Linked DNA regions of Macaca fascicularis. The protein of the gene in region 3 interacts with the protein of the main gene of each other region in a pairwise test. Links are inferred from orthologs where the notes say so. Each region holds a gene or a part of one and is shown on either strand. Other genes may lie near its edges.

Evidence for each region.
Region 1: the proteins of RWDD1 (region 3) and DRG2 interact in binary tests that used the Homo sapiens proteins (3 or more experiments, as listed by UniProt). The link is inferred for Macaca fascicularis from reciprocal best matches to the Homo sapiens genes RWDD1 and DRG2.
Region 2: the proteins of RWDD1 (region 3) and DRG1 interact in binary tests that used the Homo sapiens proteins (3 or more experiments, as listed by UniProt). The two-hybrid records come from large-scale screens. The link is inferred for Macaca fascicularis from reciprocal best matches to the Homo sapiens genes RWDD1 and DRG1.

What each region holds. Positions count from the first base shown.
Region 1 is NC_088390.1:18,202,251-18,210,038, reverse strand, and holds the start of DRG2 (developmentally-regulated GTP-binding protein 2), read right to left. Parts: upstream 5,102-7,788; 5' UTR 5,008-5,101; coding exon 4,944-5,007; intron 1-4,943. UniProt on the Homo sapiens protein: Catalyzes the conversion of GTP to GDP through hydrolysis of the gamma-phosphate bond in GTP. When hydroxylated at C-3 of 'Lys-21' by JMJD7, may bind to RNA and play a role in translation.
Region 2 is NC_088384.1:20,205,956-20,213,643, forward strand, and holds part of DRG1 (developmentally-regulated GTP-binding protein 1), read right to left. Parts: intron 6,760-7,688; coding exon 6,590-6,759; intron 2,884-6,589; coding exon 2,753-2,883; intron 1-2,752. UniProt on the Homo sapiens protein: Catalyzes the conversion of GTP to GDP through hydrolysis of the gamma-phosphate bond in GTP. Appears to have an intrinsic GTPase activity that is stimulated by ZC3H15/DFRP1 binding likely by increasing the affinity for the potassium ions.
Region 3 is NC_088378.1:20,583,422-20,591,209, reverse strand, and holds the start of RWDD1 (RWD domain-containing protein 1), read right to left. Parts: upstream 4,740-7,788; 5' UTR 4,661-4,739; coding exon 4,588-4,660; intron 3,378-4,587; exon of another isoform or gene 3,250-3,377; intron 2,181-3,249; exon of another isoform or gene 2,067-2,180; intron 1-2,066. UniProt on the Homo sapiens protein: Protects DRG2 from proteolytic degradation.

The DNA.
Region 1 (7,788 bases), on a different chromosome or scaffold from region 3:
CTGTCCCACCCCCAGTGATTCCACTGCTTCAAGGTAACTTCGTTAGATCCTGGCAGCACTCCGGCATTTGCGTATTTAAATAAATACCATTTTCATTATAAATTACTTTCCTTTTTCTTCTTCTCCTTTATATTATTAGGGTATTACATTGTTTTTTTTCAAATTCTGTGGGTACAGAAATTATATTACTGATGAGGACTTTCATTTCAGGACTGTAAATGGTGTTACAAACTCTTTGCTCTAAAACGAGGCCGTGGTTGAGACTGAGAACCAGGACCCTATGTGACCTGGCTCCTGGCTACTTCAACGCACTCTGTTACATTCCAGACACAGTGGCTTTCTCCTCTCTCTTTTTTTAAAGAGATGAGGGTTTCATTCTGTCACTCAGACCAGAGTTCAGTGGCACAATTATAGCTCACTACAGCCTTGAACTCCTGTCTCAGCCTCCTGAATAACTAGGACTACAGGCATGTACTACCAGGACTGGCTAATTTAAAAAATTGCTTTTGTAGAGATGAGGTGTTGCTATGTTGCCCAGGTCTTGAACTCCTGGCCATAAGCAATCCTCCTGCCTCAGCCTCTCAAAGTGCTGGGATTACAGGTTGAGCCACTGGGCCTGGCCTTTCTTTTTTTTCTTTTCTAGAACATGCTGACCTCATGCCTTCCTTGGGACCTTCACACTGGCGATTCTCTCCATTTCAAAGAGATCTTTCTGGAGCTGGCTCCTTCCCATCATTTGAGGTGCAGCTCAAACGTCACCTCTTCAAAGAGGCCTCCCCTGCCCAGTCTCAGAGGGTGGTGTCCTACAGAGGTTGACAGCTTGTGTCAGAACTCCACCCTGCAATTACTGGGGCCGTTTTACTTTGGAAAAGTTAGTTTTCTTGTGCATCAGTTTCTTAAACTGCAAATAGGTTTATTAACAGTATTAACTTCTTAGGCAGATTTCTTTCTTTTTTTTTTTTTTTTGAGATGGAGTCTCGCTATATCGCCCAGGCTGGAATGCTGTGGCGCAATCTCAGCTCACCGCAACCTCCACCACCAGGGTTCAAGCAATTCTCCTACCTTAGCCTCCCGAGTAGCTGGGACTACAGGCACACACTATGATGCCCAGCTAATTTTTTGTATTTTTAGTGGAAATGGGATTTCTCCCATTATATATATTATATATATATATCAAAAATATATAATTTCTCCATGCTGGTCTCAAACTCCTGATGTCAGGTGACCCACCCACCTCGGCCTCCTAAAATGCTGGGATTACAGGTGTGAGCCACGGACAGTCTTGCTGGTGTCAGGCTGGAGTGCACAGGTGTGATCTTGGCTCACTATAACCTCCACCTCCTGGGTTCAAGAGATTCTTCTGCTTCCTCCTCCCGAGTAGCTGGGACTACAGGCTGGTGCCACCACGCCTGGCCAATTTTGTAGTTTTAGTAGAGACGGGATTTCACCATGTCGCCCAGGTTGGTCTCGAACTCCTGACCTCAAGTGATCCATCCACTTCGGCTCCCAAAATGCTAGGATTACAGGCGTGAGCCACTGTGCCTGACCATACTTCAGCAGATTTTTGATGGTGGAATAATGGAGAAGTTTTACAGAAAGCACTAAGAACATCGCTTAGCACACAGTAAGCACCTAATAAAAGTTGGCTATAATCTACAGTAAATTCCGTCCTTCCCCAGACCCCTTCCTGCCTCGTGAGCCAGTTTACTGTCTTCTGAAGTCTGAAAACTATCTTATTTCTTTACTTCCCTGACTCTGGTAGGTCAGGAAATGGGACTGGATCCCCAGCTTCCAGCACAGGGCCCAAGCACACAGGAAATATTTTGCCAAGTGAATGTGTGAATTGATAGCAATGAGAAAGGGTCAAGAATGGGTTCTGCAGCTGGGCATGGTGGCTCACACCTGTAATCTCCAACACTTTGGGACGCCAAGGAGGGAGGACTGCTTGAGGCTGGGAGGTCAAGACCACCCTGGGCAACACAGTGAGACTGTGCCTCTACAAAAAATGTAACAATTGGCCGGGCGCGGTGGCTCACACCTGTAATCCCAGCACTTTGGGAAGCCGAAGTGGGCGGATCACCTGAGGTCGGGAGTCCGAGACCAGCCTGACCAACATGGAGAAACCCTGTCTCTACTAAAAATACAAAATTAGCTGGGCGTGGTGGTGCACACCTGGGAGGCTGAGGCAGGAGAATCGCTTGAACCTGGGAGGCGGCGGTTGTGAGCTGAGATCGCACCTCTGTACTCCAGCCTGGGCAATAAGAGTGAAACTCTGTCTCAAAAAAACAAAAAAAAACAAAAAAAAAAAAAAAAGGAAAAGAAAAAAAAAATATATATGTAAAAATTAGCCCGGTGTGGTGGTGCACACCTGTAGTCCCAGCTACTCGAGAGGTGGAGGTGGGAAGATTGCTTGAATGCAGGAGTTTGAAATTACAGTGAGCTATGATCACACCACTGCACTCCAGCCTGGACAACAGAGCAAGACTATCTCAAAAAAAAAAAAAAAAAAAGGATTCAGTGTCAGTCAGGTTCACATGGCCCTTCCTGTCATCCCAGCTCCTAAAATTCTGAGCATATCTGAAGGGAAGGACTAGGTCTTAATCACCTTTACATCTCCTTTGTCTACCACAGCCAAAGTAGCAGCATCTCTAGCCTCCCTGTGACTTTCCTTGGGCCTTACAGGTAATATTCCACACAGCAGCCAGAGGGAACTGTTTTTTTTTTTTTTTTTTTTTTTGAGACGGAGTCTGGCTCTGTGGCCCAGGCTGGAGTGCAGTGGCCGGATCTCAGCTCACTGCAAGCTCCGCCTCCCGGGTTTACGCCATTCTCCTGCCTCAGCCTCCCGAGTAGCTGGGACTACAGACGCCCACCACCTCGCCCGGCTAGTTTTTTGTGTTTTTTTTAGTAGAGACGGGGTTTCACCGTGTTAGCCAGGATGGTCTCGATCTCCTGACCTCGTGATCCGCCCGTCTCGGCCTCCCAAAGTGCTGGGATTACAGGCTTGAGCCACCGCGCCCGGCCCAGAGGGAACTTTTAAGACAGAAGTCAGAATAGCCCCTCCCCTGCTTAGCACCCTGCACCAGCTCCCACTGCCTTAGAACACAACCCAGAGTCTTTCCCATGACCTGTGGCTCTGCATGATCGACCCCCTCCTGTCCCATCACTGCACCCCACCCTAGTCCTGTTGATCTGTAAACAGCCAAGTTTGTTCCTGCCTCAGGGCCTTTGCATTAGCTGTTCTTTCTGCCAGGAACACTCTTCTCCCAGATGTTTGCATGACCAGTTCCTTCTTCTCATTCAGGTCTTAGTTGAAACGCCCCATTCTCATGGTGGTCTTCTCTATCATTTCACCTAAGCAGGCCCAATCCCCAGCCCCTCCCCACCCCTAATACTCTGCTGTATCACCCTGGTTTGTCTTCATAGCACATACTGCTGGCTGACATTGTTTTATTTATTTTATTTCTAGTTTTCAGACTGTCAACTAGAAGGTCAGATCTGAGGGCTGGGATATGCCTGCTGTGTTCACTGCTTTAACCACAGTGCCTAGCACATAGTAAAGGCTCAGGAAAGATCGGCCGGGCATGGTGGCTCACGCCTGTAATCCCAGCACTTTGGGAGGCTGAGGAGGGCGGATTACCTGAGGTTAGGAATTCAAGACCAGCCTGGACAACATGGCGAAACCTCCTCTCTACTAAAAAAATACAAAAATTAGCTGGGTGTGGTGGTGCGTGCCTCCAGCTACTTGGAGACGGAGGCAGGAGAATCGCTTGAACCTGGGAAGCAGAGGTTGTGGTGAGCCCAGATGGCGCCACTGCACTCCAGCCTGGGTGACTGAACAAGACTGTCACAAACAAACAAACAAACAAACAAACAAAAAAGATTTACAGAAGGAATGAGTCATAGAGGGCCCTCAACTCCTCGGCCTTCAAACCTAAATGGAACCAAGGGAAGGCAGACACTGGGACCAGCTATCTGGTGTTGCTTGCTTCCTTCTCCCACAAGCCTGAATGGCTAGCTACTAGCCTGGCCAATTGCTTCTCCCATTACTCTTCCATACCCACCTTGTGATCTAGACTGCTCTCACTGTCCCATGAACACATCATGCTCACTCCCATGTCTTTGTCTCAGTAGTGGCCCCCACCTGGGAAACCCTCCCAACAACCAGCTCAAGTCCCACTTCCTCCTAGTGTCATCATTCTCTCCTAATCTCTCTTCTGTGAGCTCCTCCAGCCCTTACATTCTAAAGTCCAGATTTGAGGCTTCATTATCTATTATCTATGTTGGGGTGTTTACTTTAAATACTGAGTGCTTACCATGTGCCCAGTGCTTTGTAAAGGCCATCTAATTTAACTCAGCTGTGTGCTAAGATGGAGCAGGAAAGTATCACCCCATTTACAGATGAAGACACTGAGGCTCCAAGAAGTGAAGTGACTTTCCAGTGTTTTACACAAGGTACGTGGTGGACCTGGGGTTCAAACCCAGGCCTTCCAGACTCCAGAGTCCTGATTCCCTTGCTCCAGTGGGCTCTCAGCTACTGAGTGAGGCTGTTCCTGAGAGGTCTCCTCTTGTACTTCCCAAAACAACAGGGGAGACCACCAAAGCCCCGGGCCCAGCCATCAGGAGACTGGGGTTTGAACCCTAGCTCTGCCTCTCTCTGGGTCAGATGGGTCAGATGCTTGCTCTGTGAGCTGGGATTACTCTACTTGGACACACGGTCTAGGACTGATCAGATCTCTTGGGGGCCGTTTGCAGTCAGACCTGGGTGTGAGACCCGCTCCCGCCTGGCCCTGCCTTGGGCGCGCAGGCCGGCCTCGGCACTTGTCTGGCAACTTCTCCGCAGCCTCGGATCTTGTCCCAGCATTACTGCTGGAGTTGTTCCCCCATTTTACAGACAGGAAAACTGAGGCGGGCAGAAAGGAAGGCCCCGCCCGTCCGGCCCTCACCCTTGTTCTTCTGCGTCCGAGCGATCTCCTTCTCGATCTCCGAGATCTTCTCTAAGATCCCCATGGCGGCAGCAGAGCTGGGCGCACAGACAGCGGCTGCGGTGGCACCGGGAATTCCGCTCTGACGGCGGCGACAGAGGAGCGTGCGCCCGGAAGTCAAGGAGAACAGCGTTCTCGTGGGCGCCTGGTGCTCCGGGATTCAGAGTCCGAGCGAGCCAAGTTGCCAGACACTATCGGTTCCGCCCGCTGGACCGGCCAGGCTGTGGACCTCTGGGAAGGGCGGGGGCGGGGCCGGGCCATACTGTACTGGCCCACGGCTAGGCTGGCCGGAGCAAGCAAGGAAGAGAGGGAATCTGCTGGTGATGAACCCTGAACTGCGAGTCCCTGCGCGCAGCTGACTGGCAGTATAAGGAAAAGGGTCTGAGTCGAAAGCCTGGTGGCTCTCATTTTATACTATAAATGGAGGTGTCCAATCTTTTGGCTTCCCTGGGCCACATTGGAAGAATTGTCTTGGGCCACACATAAAATACACTAACACTAATGATAGCTGATGAGCTTTAAAAAAATCGCCAAAAAAGTTAATGTTTTGGCCGGGCGCGGTGGCTCACGCCTGTAATCCCAGCACTTTGGGAGGCCAAGGCAGGCGGATCACCTGAGATTGGGAATTCGAGACCAGCCTGACCAACATGGAGAAATCCCGTGTCTACTAAACATACAAAATTAGCCGGGCGTGGTGGCGCATGCCTGGAATCCCAGCTACTCGGGAGGCTGAGGCAGGAGAATTGCTTGAACCCGGGAGTGGGAGGTTGCGTTGAGTGGAGATCGTGCCATTGCACTCCCGCCTGGGCAACAAGACGGAAACTCTATCTCAAAAAAAAAAAAAAAAAGTTCAATTTTTTTTCTTTGTTTTGTTTTTTTGAGACGGAGTCTCACTTTGTCGCCCAGGCTGTAGTGCAGTGGCACGATCTTGGCTCACTGTAACCTCCAACTCCCAGGTTCAAGTGATTCTCCTGCCTTAGCCTCCCAGGTAGCTGGGATTACAGGCGCATGCCACCACGCTTGGCTAATTTTTGTATTTTTAGTAGAGACAGGTTTTCACCAAGCTGGCCAGGCTGGTCATGAACTTCTGACCTCAAGTGATCCGCCTGCCTCAGCCTCACAAGGTGCTGGGATTACAGGGGTGAGCCGCTGTGCCCCGCCTAAATTTCATAATGTTATAAGAAAGTTTATGAATTTGTGTTTGGCCACATTCAAAGCAGTCCTGGACCACATGTGGCTGCAGACCTAAGGTTGGACAAGCTTGAAGAAGTTCATAATGGATCTCCAAGATCTGCCACTGCACTCCAGCATGGGCAACAAAGCAAGACCCTGTCTCAAAAAAAAAAAAAAAAAGAAAGAAAGAAAAGAAAAAAAGTGGATCCCCATACCACCATTTGTTTTTTTTTTTTTTTTTGAGACAGGGTCTCACTTGATCACCTAGGCTGGTGTGCAGTGGCGTGATCACAGCTCACTGCAGCCTCGACCTCCCAGGCTCAGGTAATCCTACCTCCTCAGTCTGGGAGAAAGTCAGCCACCACGCCTGGCTGATTTTTGTATAATGTTGTACAGATGGGGTTTCACCATTGTTGCCCAGGCTGGTCTTGAACTTCTGAGCTAAAGGAATCTGCCAGCCTTGGCCTCCCAGAGTTCTGGGATTACAGGCATGAGCCACTGCACCTGGCCCCCCATACCACCTTAACTAAGTACTCCAACTCAGCGTCACCTACCATCAGATGCCTCCTGATATGAAGCAGTGTAAAGCAGACAGCATCTCATGACTTTTTTTTTTTCCTTAGGCTCTCCCTCTATTGCCTAGGCTAGAGTACAGTGGCTTGACTACAGCTCACTGCAACCTCAACCTCCCAGGCTCAAGTGATCCTCCCAGACCTCCTGAGTAATTGTGACTACAGGCCCAAACCATTATGCCTGGCTAATTAAAAAAAAAAAGTTTTTTGTAGAGATGGGGTCTCACTATGTTGCCCAGGCTGCTCTTGAACTCCTGGTCTCAAGCAATCCTCCCACCTCAGCCTCCCAAAGTGCTAGGATTACAGGCATGAGCCACCTTGACTGGTTGACAGCATCTCTTATGTAGAATTCTTGCCAAAAATACTATAACTGAGTTCAGGCATGAGGAAACATCAGATAATGTAGAAAGTGGAACATTTTATAAGGCAGGTGGCCTTGGTTCATCAAAATTGTCAATGACAGTAGCCGGAGATAAGCAGGGGGATTGTTCTAAATGAAAAAATGTTACATGTGTGGAACTTGTCCGGATTCTGGTTGAAATTTTTATTTATTTATATTTATATATTTTTTTCTTTTTTTGAGACGGAGTCTTGCTCCATCACCCAGGCTGGAGTGCAGTGGCACAATCTCGGCTCACTGCAACCTCTGCCTCCCAGGTTCAAGCGATTCTCCTGCCTCAGCTTCCTGAGTAGCTGGGACTACAGGCGCCTGCCACCACGCCCAGCTAATTTTTGTATTTTTAGTAGAGACTGGGTTTCACCATGTTAGCCAGGATGGCCTCAGTCTCCTGACCTCATGATCTGCCCGCTTTGGCCTCCCAAAGTGCTGGAATTACAGGCTATTTTTCTTTTTTTAGAGATGAGGTGTCTCTCTATCACCCAGGCTGGAGTGTAGTGGCATGATCATGACTAACTGCAGCCTTGAACTCCTCAGCTCAAGTGATCCTCCAGCCTCAGCCTCCCAAGTAGCTAGGACTACAGGCACATGCCACCATGGCCAGTTAATTCTGGTTGAAAAAATTAAAAGCACCTATAAAAAGACATTCTGGGCTGGGCACAGT
Region 2 (7,688 bases), on a different chromosome or scaffold from region 3:
GGTGATGTTATGTGTCCCTAGGAAAGTCACTTAACCTCTGAGTCAGTTTCCTACATGGCTGTTTTAAAACATAATTTATATTTAAAGACTAAAAAATGTTTTATTTATTGGTACAATAAATAATATTTATTGGTAAAAATGATATCACATCTACCAATGTCATATTTCTAGTGTCCAATGAATATGACAGCTAAGGTTACTAATAATTAGGCAAGCCACAACTTCTCACAGTTTAACTGCCTCACTTGTAAAATGCCTAACTGAAAACACTGGCTTCTGTTTGTTTTCAAACGAGGAGTAAATACGTTCATCCAACATACAGGAACAAATGACTAGGAGAACTAAAAATATTATATGCAAATGCTACAAGGAATTTTAACAGTGACTTAACTTATTCAAGTCTCAATAATATTAATGGGCTGGGCATAGTGTCTTATGCCTATAATCCCAACACGTTGGGAGGCCAAGGCAGGCAGATTGCTTGAGCCCAGGAGTTCAAGACCAGTCTTGGCAAGGTGAGGAAACAACATCTCTATAAAAAATACAAAAATTAGCTTGGCTTGGTGGTACACGGCCATAGTCCCAGCTACTCAGGAGTTTGAGGTGGGAGGATGGATTGAGCCCGGAGTTCAAGGCTGTGGTGAGCCGTGATCACACCACTGCACTACAGCCTGGGCGACAAGAGCGTGACCCTGTCTCAAAAAAAAAAAAAAAAGTAATGTATCATGAAATAGATACTCAGCTACATACTCTTAGGATGGAGAAAACAAACACAGCCTGGCCGGCTCAGACTTCTGTAGGACACAGCCTATAGAACTTCTCAGGTGGATTAATTCTGGAAGAGCAGACTCACCTACTACTCTCTTCAACTATCACATGACAAAGATTAGGGGGCAGCTTAGTTTACAGCAAGTAACTGAAATGGAGAATTTCATAGGAGGAGGCTGTAAAAGAAAAAAACTGAAATGGGGAATATGACCATCACAATTAAATTTAAAAGCAAGGAAGGATGTCAGAAATCAAAACGAATCCCTCAGTTTAGAGCTAAAGAAACCAAAGCCAGCAGGCATGGTGGCTCATGCCTGTAATTCCAGCACTTTGGGAGGCAGAGGCAGGCAGACTGCCTGAGGTTAGAGACCAGCCTGGCTAACATGGAGAAACCCCATCTCTACTAAAAATACAAAAATTAGCCAGGTGTGGTGGCGGACGCCTGTAGTCCCAGCTACTCGGGAGGATGAGGCAGTGGAAGTGCTTGAACCCTGGCGGCAGAGGTTGCAGTGAGCCAAGATCATGCCACTGCACTCCAGCCTGGGCGACCGAGCAAGACTCCAAAAAAAAAAAAACACAAAACCAGGGGGCGGGGGCCAGGCACAGCGGCTCATACTTGTAATCCCAGCACTTTGGGAAACTGAGGCAGGTAGATCACCTGAGGTCAGGAGTTCAAGAACAGCCTGGCCAACATGGTGAAACCCCATCTCTACTGAAAATACAAAAGATTAGCCAGACGTGGTGGCAGGCACCTGTAATCCGAGCTACTCAGGAGGCTGAGGCAAAAGAATCGCTTGAACCCAGGAGGTGGAGGTTGCAGTGAGCCAAGATCATGCCACTATACTCCAACCTGGGTAACAGAGTGAGACACTTGTCTCACAAAAAAAAAAAAAAAAAAACAAAGTCCACTATCATTTAAGATAGTAGCACAGGCTGGACGCAGTGGCTCATGTCTGTAATCCTAACATTTTGGTAGGCCAAGGCAGGCGGATCACTTGAGGTGAGGAGTTCAAGACCAGTCTGGCCAACATAATGAAACCCCATCTCTACTACAAATACAAAATTAGCTGTGCATGGTGGTGCACACCTGTAATCCCCGCTACTCGGGAGGCTGAGGCAGGAGAATCGCTTGAACCTGGGAGGTGGAGGTTACAATGAGCTGAGATCACACCATTGCACTCCAGCCTGGGTGACAGAGTGAGACTCCATCTCAAAAAAACAAACAAAAAAAAGGCCGGGCACAGTGGCTCACACCTGTAATTCCAGCACTTTGGGAGACCAAGGTGGGGTGGATCACCTGAGGTTGGGAGTTCAATACCAGCCTGACCAACATAGAGAAACCCCATCTCTACTAAAAACACAAAATTAGCCAGGCATGGTGGCACATGCCTGTAATCCCAGCTACTCAGAAAGGCTGAGGGAGGAGAATCGCTTGAATCCGGGAAGCAGAGGTTGCAGTGAGCTGAGATTGAGCCATTGCACTCCAGCCTGGGTAACAAGAGCAAAACTCCACCTCAAAAAAAAAAAAAGAAAGAAAGAAACCAAAGCCCACTATCATTTAAGATAGTAGCACAGGCTGAACACAGTGGCTCACGCCTATAATCCCAACATTTTGGGAGGCCGAGGCAGGCGGATCACTTGAGGTCAGGAGTTCAAGACCAGCCTGGCCAACATGATGAAACCCCACCTCTACTAAAAATACAAAAATTAGCTGGGCATGGTGGTACACACCTGTAATCCCAGCTACTCGGGAGGCTAAGGCAGGAGAATCTCTTGAATCTGGGAGGTGAAGGTTGCAGTGAGCTGAGATCATGCTGCTGCATTCCAGCCTGGGCAACAGAGTGAGACTCCATCTCAAAAAAAAAAAAAAAAATAGTAGGACAACTGGAATTAAGATAAACTTCTGCCAAATTCAAGATCCAATACTGTTTCCATCACAAGGCTTCCAATCCAGTCAGGCACAGACTGCACACTCAGTCAGTACCTGTTTCCTTCCACCACATCAATGAGGTCATCAGCTGTAGCATCACTACGTAGAGTCACATCAGCATTATGAATCTTGTATTCGGCCAGAATGCTCTTCACAGTTTCAGCATCTAGCTCACTCTGGGGGCACTGAAAGGGAATAGCAGATGACTGGTCAGCACAAAATTTAAAAAAAAAAAATACTTGCCAAGTGTACCAATATCCATGTACCTGGAAAATTCTAGCTAAGATGCAAACTCATTACTAAAGACATCCGGGATGAGTGTCACTGACTTTTAGTAGGAAATAAATGTTCAAACTCCAAGGAAGGTGTTACACGCTGAACTGTGTTCCTCCTTCCCCCACAAAATAATTCATATGTTGAAGTCCTAATCTCAGTATCTCAGAATGTGACTGTATTTGGAGATAAGAGTCTTTAAAGCGGTAATCAAATTAAAATAAGGTCATTAGAGTGGGGCCCTAATCCAATACTGGTGGTACTAATGAGAAAAGGAGATTAGGACACAGAAACACAGAGCAAACACCAGATGAAGTCATATCTGTAAACCAAGGACAGAAGCCTCAGAAGAAACCAACCCTGCCATCACCTTGATCTCAGACTTCCAGCCTCTAGAATTATGAAAAATAAATTTGTTATTTAAGCCACCCCATCTGTGGTACCATATTATGGCAGCCCTGGCAAACTAACACAGAAATAATCTTAAATGTTCAAATTCGAACATTAAGACAGGATAATGGGAAAGATGTTTTGGGCAAGACAGCTTAAACCTATGCCAGTCAAATCATCTGGAGTGTTAAATTTAGTAGGAAAGTCTCAGTCCTCAATTCTGACAGAGAAGCAGCATTTGACAGAACTGGTCACTCTTATCTGAAACACTTTACTTGGCTTCCAGCATTTCAAACTCTTTCAGTTTTCCTTCTCTCTCTTTGTCTAAGAAGTCTTATCTCTTTGAGTCTCTTTTCTTTTTTTCTTTTTTTTTTTTTGAGACGGAGTTTCTCTCTTGGTGCCCAGGCTGGAGTGCAATGGCGCAATCTCAGCTCACTGCAACCTCCACCTCCTGGGTTCAAGCGATTCTCCTGCCTCAGTCTCCCAAGTAGCTAGGATTACAGGCGCGTGCCACCATGCCTGACTAATTTTTGTAGCTGGTCTCCAACTCCTGACCTCAGGTAATCTGCCCACTTCAGCCTCAGCATCAGCCACTGTGTCTGGCCGATTCTCTTTTCTTTTTTCTTTTCTTTTTTTTTTTTTTTTGAGATGGAGTCCCACTCTGTTGCCAGGCTGGAGTGCAGTGGTGTGATCTCGGCTCACTGCAACCTCCTCCTCCCAGGTTCAAGCGATTCTCCTGCCTCAACCTCCTGAGCAGCTGAGATTACAGGCGTGTGCCACCATGCTCAGCTAATTTTTGTGTTTTTAATAGAGACAGGGTTTCACCATGTTGGCCAGGATGGTCTCGATTTTTTTTTTTTTTTTTTTTTTTTTTTGAGACGGAGTCTGGCTCTGTCACCCAGGCTGGAGTGCAGTGGCGCGATCTCGGCTCACTGCAAGCTCCGCCTCCCGGGTTTACGCCATTCTCCTGCCTCAGCCTCCCGAGTAGCTGGGACTACAGGCGCCCGCCACCTCGCCCGGCTAGTTTTTTGTATTTTTTAGTAGAGACGGGGTTTCACCGTGTTAGCCAGGATGGTCTCGATCTCCTGACCTCCTGATCCGCCCGTCTCGGCCTCCCAAAGTGCTGGGATTACAGGCTTGAGCCACCGCGCCCGGCCTCGATCTCTTGACCTTGTGATCTGCCCGCCTTGGCCTCCCAAAGTGCTGGGATTACAGGCATGAGCCACCGCGCCTGACTCTCTTTTCTTTTCTATCTATACTCACATCCTTGGTGATCTCAGTTAGGTCCATGACATTAAAGTTGATAATCACCAAATTTATATATCCAGTCTAGGTAATTCCTCATGCAGCCTAAGTAATTCCTCATGCCTTTTTTTTTTTTTTAGTAGAGATGGGGTCTCACTTTGTTGTCCAAGCTGGTTTTGAACTCCTGGGCTCAAGTGATCCTCCTGCCTCAACCTCCCAAAGTGCTGGGATTATAGATGTACAGTCATGAGCCACTGTGCCCAACCTACCCCACATGCCTTCTTGACAGAAACACCTAGATGTCTAACTGGCATCTAAAACTTAACATCCTGATCTTCTCCTTCCCTCCAAACCTACTCTACCAAAAGTCCTACCATTTTAGTAATAAGAGTTCATTTTTTTTTTTTAGCTCAGGACAAAAAAAAAAAAAAAAAAGTGGCTGGGTATGGTGGCTCACACCTGTAATCCCAACACTTTGGGAGACCAAAGCAGGAGGATAGTTTGAGGCCAAAAGTTCAAGATCAACCTGGGCAACATGGCAAATCTCCGTTTCTACCAAAAAAAAAAAAAAAAAAAAAGCCAAGCCTGGAGGCATGTGACTATAGCCCTAGCTACTTAGAAGGCTGAGGCAGGAGGGTCACTTGAGCCCAGGAGTTTGAGCTAACAGTGATTGTACCACTGTACTCCAGCCTAAGCGACAGAATGAGATCAACCAGGCTGGCCGACATGGTAAAACCCCGTCTCTACTAAAAATACAAGAATTAGCCGGGCACAATGGCAGGCACCTGTAATCCCAGCTACTCAGGAGGCTGAGGCAGAAGAATCTCTTGAACTTGGTCGGCAGAGGTCGCAGTGCGCCAGGATCGCGCCACTGCACTCCAGCGTGGGTGACAGAGCAAGACAGAGTGAGACTCCATCTCTAAATAAGTAAACAAACAAACAAACAAAAAACAAAACAGGCATCTCTGACTCTTTCTTTCACAATGCATACCCAATCCAGATGTAATTACTATCAGCTATTTCAAAATCTTTCCACAACCAACCACTTTTCAACTCCTTCACTGTCACAACCCTGGTCCAGGAAGCTATCACTTCTTGGTTATTGCAATAACCTCTTAAATTATTTCTGTTTCTGCTCTTAACCTACTGCAATCTATTCTCAACATAAGAGTCAGAATTATTCCACTAAAACCTAAGTCAAATCATGTTTGTGGGTCAGAACTCAACCAAGTTACCCATCTCCTGTAAAGTAAAAGCACATATGTCCCTATGTTATGACTTCATCTCTTACTACTCTCTTACTTGCTCATTCTGCTGTTCCTCAAACATGGGAAGACATGCCCTGCCTCAGTACCTTTCCACTTGGACGTTTCCTCTGCATGAAGCAAATGCTCTTCTTCAAGATATCCACTTGGTTCACACCTTCATGTTACCTCAGTGAAGACTTCCCTGACCAACGTTCTTAAAACCGCAACCCTCACACCAACACTCTATCTCCTTTCCCTACTTTGTGTTCTCACATTTATCATTGACTAATACATTATATTTTACTCATTAATATTTGCTATTCTATCCAACTAGAAAATAAAATAGCAGGGGGTTTCACTATTCCCTCTTCCATTCCTGCTCAGAGCCTAAAATAATGCTTGGCCCATGGTAGGCACTCTATAAATTTGTGTTAAATGAATGAAAACAGAAGACATTGGCGGCCATGTACTTTATGCAAGCATAATATTGGTTCACACTCCCATATCATCCCCAATAGATAATCCAAAAGAGGAAATAAGCAGCAAAGGTAAGTCTGAGACTGGCTCCTACCCTAATCTTGAAGTCTTTCTTGTCAGTCATTATGAAGTCACTGTGCTATCTCAATTAGTGCAGGGAAAAGCCAAGAAATTTTCCAATGTCAATGTCCATGCACCCTAATCCACTCCCCACTCCTATTCCTGCAGCAGCCTGCCCCATGTCGTCTTCCCCACTTACAGTGGCTGTGAGATTAATGCCTCCCTTGTCTTTCTTCTTAAAGCCAATGTTGGGGGGTTTGCTGTTCAAGCGAATGCCAAAGCCTTCCAGCTCATTTTCAATTATCTTCTTATGTCCCAAAGGTTTCAGGACATCCAGAACAATCAAGATCAAGTTACAGGTTCGGGCCACTGAAGAGTAAGAAAAAAACATACCCAAGAAAGTTCAATAAAGCCTTAACTAACCCAAATACTCAAGTAGAGGTGTTTTTCCCCCTACATTTAAGTGTCAAAGGATTTTTTTGTAATACATACATACATACATACACGAAGTTCTTATAGCTACAAAAGAGTTATACCAGAAGTCAATTTGCTTTGTATGCCATGAAATCAGCACATATTTGCCCAAGAGTTGATACATTTTCTGTCGCCCAGGCTGGAGTGCAGTGGCACAATCTTGGCTTACTGCAACCTCTTCCTCTCGGGTTCAAGCGATTCTCCTGCCTCAGCCACCCGAGTAGCTGGGACTACAGGCACGTGCCACCATGCCCAGCTAATTGTATTTTAGTAGACATGGGATTTCCTCACCATGTTGCCTGGGCTGGTCTTGAACTCCTGAGCTCAGGCAATCCACCCACCTCAGCCTCCCAAAGGGCTAGGATTACAGGCGTGAGCCACTGCGCCCACCCTTGGTTAGCATATTTTAAACCAAATTTAATGAGGTACAACTTTTTTTTAATTATATCCATGTTAAAGCACACAGTTCGATGGCAAATGTATATACCTGTGTAACCACCTAAGCAATCAAGACACGGAATATTTCCATCACCTACAGCATTCCTTTGTAACTAACTCCTTTCAATCTTCCCCACTATTCCCAGCCAACCACTGATCTGCTTTCTGCCACCATAGTTTGCACTTTTTAGAATTTCATATAAATGAAATCATATAAAATATATTATTTTGGCACAGCACAGTGGCTCCTGCCTATAATCCTAGCACTTTGGGAGGTTGCAGCAGAAGGACTGATTGGAGCCAGGAGTTTGAGACCAGCCTGCGCAACAAAGTAAGATTCAATCTGTACAAAAAAAAAAAAAATGTAGTATTTTGTGCCTGAATAT
Region 3 (7,788 bases):
TCATTTCCAGCTAGCCCTCACCAAATGACTAAGTTCCCACTAAAAAGATGGAAGTAGATATGCCCTCTGACAGTTTCCAGGAAATTTCCTTAAGAAACTTGCCTTCTCTCACTTCTCTCTGTTCTTCTTCCTTCCTTTATTCATCCTACTTCCAGGAAAGGGAATGTTACCATCTTGGCCATGAGTGTAAGACTACATCTTAGGGATGACAGAGAGCTACATTAGAAGATGGGTCCCTGAGGAGTTCTTGAAATAGAGCTGCCACAACTCTCTTGCATGTGCAAGAGCACATAAGCAAGAGCAAAATAAGTTTTTACCTTTTTAAAAACCAATGTTATTGGGGGTTTTCTGTCACAGCTGAATCTAATCTTATTAAAATAAGTATTTTTTAAAAACAGAAAAAGGGATATTTCAAAGTTGGGCAGTAACTAAAATAGGGATGGGAAAGTTAATTAATTGAATTCACAGAAATAGATAATTCCTAAGTTCTGATAAAAGACTAATCCCATTACCATGCATTACTGTGAGTTAGGGTAAGTAGAAGAAAGATTAGTCTTCAATAAGGATGCCAGACTTCTACCACTGTAAGTAATTAAAAATACTTTTGAGGGCCGGGCATGGTGACTCATGCTAGCACATGATGACGCAATCCTAGCACTTTGGGAGGCTGAAGTGGGTGGATCACTTGAGGCCAGGAGTTCAAGACCAGCCTGGGAACATAGCGAGACCCCAATCTCTCCTAAAAATACAAAAATTAGCCAGGCATGGTGGCACATATCTGTAATCCCGACTACTTGGGAGGGTGAGGCAGGAGAACTGCTTGAACCTGGGAGGTGGCAGTTGCAGTGACCCAAGATGGTACCACTGCACTCTAGCCTGGGTGACAAAGGGAGACTCTCTAAAAAAAAAGAAAAAAATTGAGAAAAAGAGTAAGCTGGGCCAGATGCAGTGGCTCACGCCTATAATCCCAGCCCTTTGGGAGTCGGAGGTGGGAGACTTCCTTGAGGCCAAGAGTTCAAGACTAGCCTGGGCAACAGAGTAAGACCTCTGCTGATACAAAAAATGCAAAAATTAGCCAGGCATGGTACTGCGAGCCTGTAATCCCAGCTACTCTGGAGGCTGAGGTGGGAAGATCACTTGAGTCCAGAGGTCCATGGCTCCAGTGAGCTGACTGGGGCACTGTGCTTCAGCCTGGGTGACAGAGTGAGACCTTGTCTCAAAAAGGAGAGGGAGAGGAGAGAGGGGAGAGGGGAGGGGAGAAGAGGGGAGAAGAGAGGAGAGGGAAAGGAAAGGAAAGGGTAAGGAAAGGAAAGGGGAAGAAAGGAAGGAAGGAGAGAGAGAAAGAAAGGAAAAAAAGAAAAAGAAAAGAGAAAGAAAAAAGAAAGGAAAGAAAGAGAAAAAAGAAAAGAAAAGAAAAGAAAAGAAAAGAAAGAAAGAAAGAAAGAAAGAAAGAAAGAAAGAAAGAAAGAAAGAAAGAAAGAAAGAAAGAAAGAAAAAAGAAAGGAAGGGAAAGAAAGAGAGGAGAGAAGGAAGGAGGGAAGGAGGGAAGGAAGGGAAGGAAGGGAAGGAAGGAAAGGAAGGAAGGAAGAAAGTTAGCTGTTGGCCATAGAGGAAGGGCAGAGAGACGTTAGGGGACAGATGGTGGTGAAACTGATAGAATTAAAGATTTGTCAAAAACAGGGATAAAGAGGTAGAAGCTAAAAGGTACATTAAGAGATACACAAATCACCTTTAGTTTCCACAAAATATGAGAGAGCCCATATTAAAATAAGCACCTCTGGTTGTTAGGGAGTGTCTGACCTTTCAAAAAGTATGACTTAGAACAAACTGCTTTTACAAGATGACTTCTTACCTATCTCAAGATACAATTATAACTGTTAAATGTGAATGGCTGCTGCTTAGAGGTACTGATAAAGAAATACAGGATTATGTACTCCTCTTTGTAAGGCAAACAGAATTAAGGAAACTTGGCTTTTGGTTAACCTGATGCCAACAAATTTGTTTCAATAAAACTCCCCACAGCCAGAGATTTCAATACATAAATTGAAATAACCAAATTCTACTACCTTAGCAGGACCTTGTCAAGTGAAGAACTACTGAAGGAGAATGTGGTATCAGGAGAGTCCATTTATATTTTGGAAGACTAGTTGTTAGGAGGGTTGGATCAATGTGCAATCAAGCTACAGAATAGGCAAAAAGAAGAAATTGTATTATGATTTGTTATAACCACAACAAATGCAACACTGGACCAAAAGTACTTTGCAAATAGTCAAAGCAATTAATTCTGAGGTTACGCTAAATCTATGTGCCTACGTCTATGGGCTGGACTGTGCCTCTTCAGCATTCACATGGGGTTACGTGTACTTAACAAATGCTTCTTTGTCAGGCACTCAGTCGTCCATTTAAAAAAAAAAAGTATATTTCCTTCATCAATAGCATTGAGTATTAACCAAATTTAATAATTAAATGTGATTCAAAATGAAGTTACAAAACCTCATTTAGTGTTCCTTGGCCAACTGACACAAGCAAGATCTCTTTCTTAAACCTGGCATGAGAATACAAAAGTATGGAATCATAAATACAAAAGAAGGCTTTAAAACAGCAAATCTTGCAAATCTCCAAGATTTTAAAAGATCAGACATGGAAACATTTTATTTCAAAATCCTCTGCCTTTTCCCCAAGAGGTTTCATAAAGAACTTGATCACTAGGAAGGCAACGTTCCCTAAGAACTATAAATAAAGACATCTCATTTTAATTTATTTATTGCAAAGCTTGTAGAACTGTTGACAGGAGTTACAGACAGATGGCTTATCTGATAGTGCAGAATACCTGAATGCATCAAAAGATTCATAATTGTCTTTTATTACCCTGGCTCAGAATCCTCAAGCACTTGGGCATCTGATAAGAATTTCACATAGTGAACTATACCAGAGCTGTCAGGGCCTAGTACAATTTGAAATACCCACAAGATTATTTCAGGGTTAAAAACCAAAAAAAAGGTATCAGTTTTATAAATGCTTATATGCATAGAATTTAGTGAGGGATAGCTTATGTCCAAAGAAATGAAAAGAATAGCATATCCTGCTTTCTTGACTCTGCCTACAGTGTTCATATCTATTATGTTTCCAAAGTTCTGGAAATGACCAAACATGATTAAGAATATATCCAACAACTGACCCTATATTCTATTTTAGACACAGACATATAAGCAAGGATAGAGAAGGGAGCCAGACTCCATACACACTCACCCAGTTAATGACACTCTCAAACCCCTCTTCACTCATCCCCTTAACATCCTCACAGCACAGATGTACTGCTGGTGAGAGAGAACATGAACAGGACTGGAGCTATACAGGGATAGCTGAGAGACATCTGCCTGTTGGCAAAGCAGAACAAAATTTGCTACCATTGCAAGCAGTGATCAAAAGGTGGAACCAAGAAAACTAAGCTAAACGATGAAAGGGGGAGGGGTTGGAGTTTATGAGTTAAAGTAATATACCTTCCACAATAAATTCTGACTATCAACCATAGGCAACACTCAAAGGAAAGGATGGCGAATGTAAATGCACACACCTAGTTTCTACTCACTCATATTGGCTTTATTTGGCCGCTTCTCAAATCTCAGAGGAGCCATATTGATATAGTTATGTAGCATTTTTATAATCATCCGAAGCATGGCTTAATAGAGAAATCTCATCCTCTAAATTATACCTAATGAACTTCTCATTACAATATTTTACATTAGCCCAACCTATCAAGTAATCTTCTGCTCTCCCCAATCTCAGCTGGAGCTGAATCCCAAGTCCCATATGTCTGGAAGGTGAAAGAACAGGCAGGCGTTCCGGACGTAACTCTTAGTACCAGCCCTGCCGCTAACTCGCTGGCGTACAGTCCAGAGCAAGCCACTTAGCTTTCCTGAGCCCCCAAGACCTTGACTTGTAGCAGGATCCCCAGGCTAGATGATGTCTAACCTCCCTTCCAATCTAACAACCTATGAATTTATAGCGGAACGAAAATTTGGGCCACATTATCCATTAGGCATTCTACTGAATGCTAGATTTTTTTTTTTTTTTTCTCGTAAGAAAAGAAACCCGACAGACTTCAGGGACTATACTACTCTCAAAACCTATCTGAGTAACTGAGAACAGTACTCTGAATCCCATAAACTAAAACAGCATCGTATGAAAAACAGTTTCTACCTTAATAAAGGTGAAAATGTGAAAACTAACATCCTTGCAGCTGTGGAAAAACGAATCTCACTTGGAGTATCTTTTCTCTTAATGTATTATAAATCTCAGGTTGCTGTAGGTTACACAGAAACCAAAGTAACCCCGACTCAATTTTCAGGCCTGACACCTTCCAGCATCACCCGGACTTTTAGATTTCAGGGACAAGCAGAGAAGGGGGAAAAAGTCACTGGGTTGCTGGTAAGTGACTGAAGAACTTGAGAAGAGTGGAGGGCAAGGTGGCCGCGCGGCCTCACGGTCCCCTTCTCCACCCCAGCCTAGGAGGCCCAGAGCTGCGGCGGCTCCTGCCCGTCCCACTCCACCTTGGGGCGGCTGCAGGCTTGCGGCCGCGGAAGTCACCTGTGAAGGAGTCAGGGTAGATGGACTCCAGAGCCTCCAGCTCGTTGCGCTGCTCCTCGCCGTAATCTGTCATCGTGGCTCTTGCTCTTGCCCATGGATTGCCCAGACACCTAGGCGGCGCGCAGCAGCCCAGACAGCTGCAGCGCCGGGAGAGCGGGCGGCGGCCAGGCGGGCGCAGGCGCAGAGTCCCCGGCTGGAAGGCCCAGGGCCCAAAGCCAGACCCGGCCTGCTTAGCTACAGTTAAGCGCCGGCCTCCGCCTGCTCTCTACTTCCAAGTTCGACTAGTTCTGCCTGGCCAGGGGGGCACTGATTTGCTGCCTGTCCCACACTCGCTCGGGACTTGCTGGGACGGTGCGCGCGGTCTGGCATTTGCTAAGGACACCTACAGCCGGCTGCTGGGCTTTGCAGGCCCTGAGCCTTAGAAGCTTCTCAGCGCGGCATCCTCGCTCGATGAGTCTGGGCTGAAAGGCCGGCATCGTGCGCCAGGGAAAGAAAGCGTCGCTGGTGGCCGAGACTGGGCGACGGGCATCGGGTGCCTTTTCTGGTTTCCGATTTGACCCTGTGGCGTAGGTGCTGCGGTCTTGCTACCTAGTGTGGACTAGTGGGGGTCAGGAGATTTCTGCGCTTCTTGAACTCCGTATTGCGTGGCGTCCCACGGGAGTTGGACGAGGGGCTGGGACCAGGGTAGATTCCACTGGGCGGGGGAACAAAAGCTCTGCACTGCCTTGAATGAGCACGGAAGGGTCGACCTAACTGCTTAATAAGTCGGGGTGGATCCGGGGGGGAGAAATAGACCCTAGGTCCGGCTTCTCGGTTCAGATCTTTAGGTTTAACTTGTGAATTTGTGAAATGAACGCGGCTTGACGTTTTATAGATCTCAAGATGTCCGTGACTGTGTATTTGTGAATTGGTGAGAGGAATGTCGATCTCAGTAATAACAGTTTTAATATGCAATTAAAAATTGCAGTACCCCAGGAAATATTGAGAACCTTTAATTTGGTAATACCACTTCCAAGAATAAACTTGAGCAGGTAGTATGCATCTGTGATCTCCAAGGTCATTGCAGCAATTACAAAGAAAATTTTCAAAGTGCCATGATGGCAAAAGCTAAGAAAATGGCTAAATAAACATGGTTAACTTTATGAAAAGAATATTAAACAACTGTGGTAACAATAATAAAGGATCCCATGTTCCTTTATTATAATATTGTGCAAAGTCGAAAAAATGGAAAATTTTAAGAAAATACTCAAAAGCTGTTCCCCACTTTATTTTTCTTTGTTTTGATTTCTCTGTATTAAAGCTGGTTTCACTTGTATAGTGGGAGGAACACTTTTTAAACGAAAGCTTCCTAATGAAGCCTCTGAAGTTTTCTCTTGTTGAAATGGTGATGTCCCATGGACCAGAAGGCACCTTGATCTTTTATTGAGGAGTGCTGCTTACCTATGACAGAGGAACGCTTTGGTACTCATTATGTGTTTACGGTATTAAGGGTTGATTTCAGGCATTCTTTTAAACTTTAAGGAAAAGAGTGGAGTCTCCTAACTATGATGAGAATCAAATAAAATACATAAAGTAACTTTGCAATTATAAGTTGCTCATTTTTTTTTTTTTTTTTGGATCGCTTCAGTTCAGAGGAATTATAATGATTTGTTATAAGGAAAGAGCTGCCAGAGGAAACACTAGTGCATAAGTTCTAAGGGGGGTGTCAAGGCTGATTTTTGGCTACAAGAACTGGAAAGATGAAGTTCTGTTGACCGAAATAAGTGAGGAAGACAGAATCAAATTTGGCAAGGAAGATGGCATTACATCTTTAAATGACTCCTAGATCAAAGAAAATCAAGCAAAATTAAGTTTTTTCTCCTAACAGAATAATAAAAACAACCTACCAAAAGAAATGAGATGCAGCAAAGCAACAAACATAACAAGGTTTACGTTAGAAAAAGGTTACTTTTGGTTGCCAATTACAATCTAGTAAATGTAGTACCTCTTTATTTGCATTCCTATTTCATTAACAAAACTTTTGGTAAAGCATCCTTTTCAAACCTTATGTATCACTGTAAATAAACCCTACATGCTTCAGAATGCTCAAGAGTGTTACTTTGATACTGGAGATGGCTCTCGTAATCAAGGAAAAACATCTGCAAATCTTTGTCATACCTACATATGCATTATTAAGCATTTTTTAGTGGATCTCTAATTTCATTTTGACCATAACACATGCTTAACAGAACACAGCAAGTCCCTTAACTGAAATTGTGGAAAATTCTCATGAGGCAAATTGACTTTCTTTTAGTGTTTCGTTTTTAATTGGTAGTTAAAGATGTTATAGACCAAGTGTGTTTTAAGCTCTGCAGGTAGGCAAACGGTGTGAGCCATTGATATGGTTTGGCCGTGTCCCCACCTGAATGTCATCTTGAATTGTAGTTCCCATAATCCCCACGTGTCACGGGAGGGACTAGGTGGAGATAATTGAATCACGGGGCCGATTCTTCCCATCCTGTCCTTGTGATAGTGAGTTCTTACGAGATCTGATGGTTTTATAAGGGGCTTCCTTCTTCCCTGGGCACTCGGTCTTCTTCCTGCAGCCATGTGAAAAAAAAAAAAAGGTGTGTTTGCTTCCTCTTCTGCCATGATTATAAGTTTCCTGAGGCCTTCTCATCCATGCAGAACTATGAGTCAATTAAAAGTCTTTCCTTTATAAATTACCCAGTCTCAGTTATTTCTTCATTGCAGCGTGAGAACTGACTATGATAGTCATCATAGGATCTGGAACCAGAAGTAATAAACTCAGCCTTAGTCATTTGCAAGATACGTAAGCTTATAAGATAATTCAGATGACATGAAATAATTATAAGCATGTTTGTAAACTCCATATCAACATTATTTCCTGATAATTAAATTCATATATCATCTTATAAAGCATTGCTATTCTCTGTTCATCTTTATTGCTAATGAAGTATGTCCCTAAGAGATTCATCTTATTTGTATTCTTCTTAGTTTCTTCTGCAGGTAATACAAATTAGTAGTTGCTCTTTACTAATACTATAAGCCTTTAAAAATTACTTTGATGTTTATTTTTACTTCTCTGTGCCTGTGAGTTTTCTAGCAATCACACTATCAGAAGCTCAGTGTTGAGAATTCCCTATTTCATGCTTAATTTTAATTATTAAACAGTTCATGTGGCTAATGTTTCATTTACTC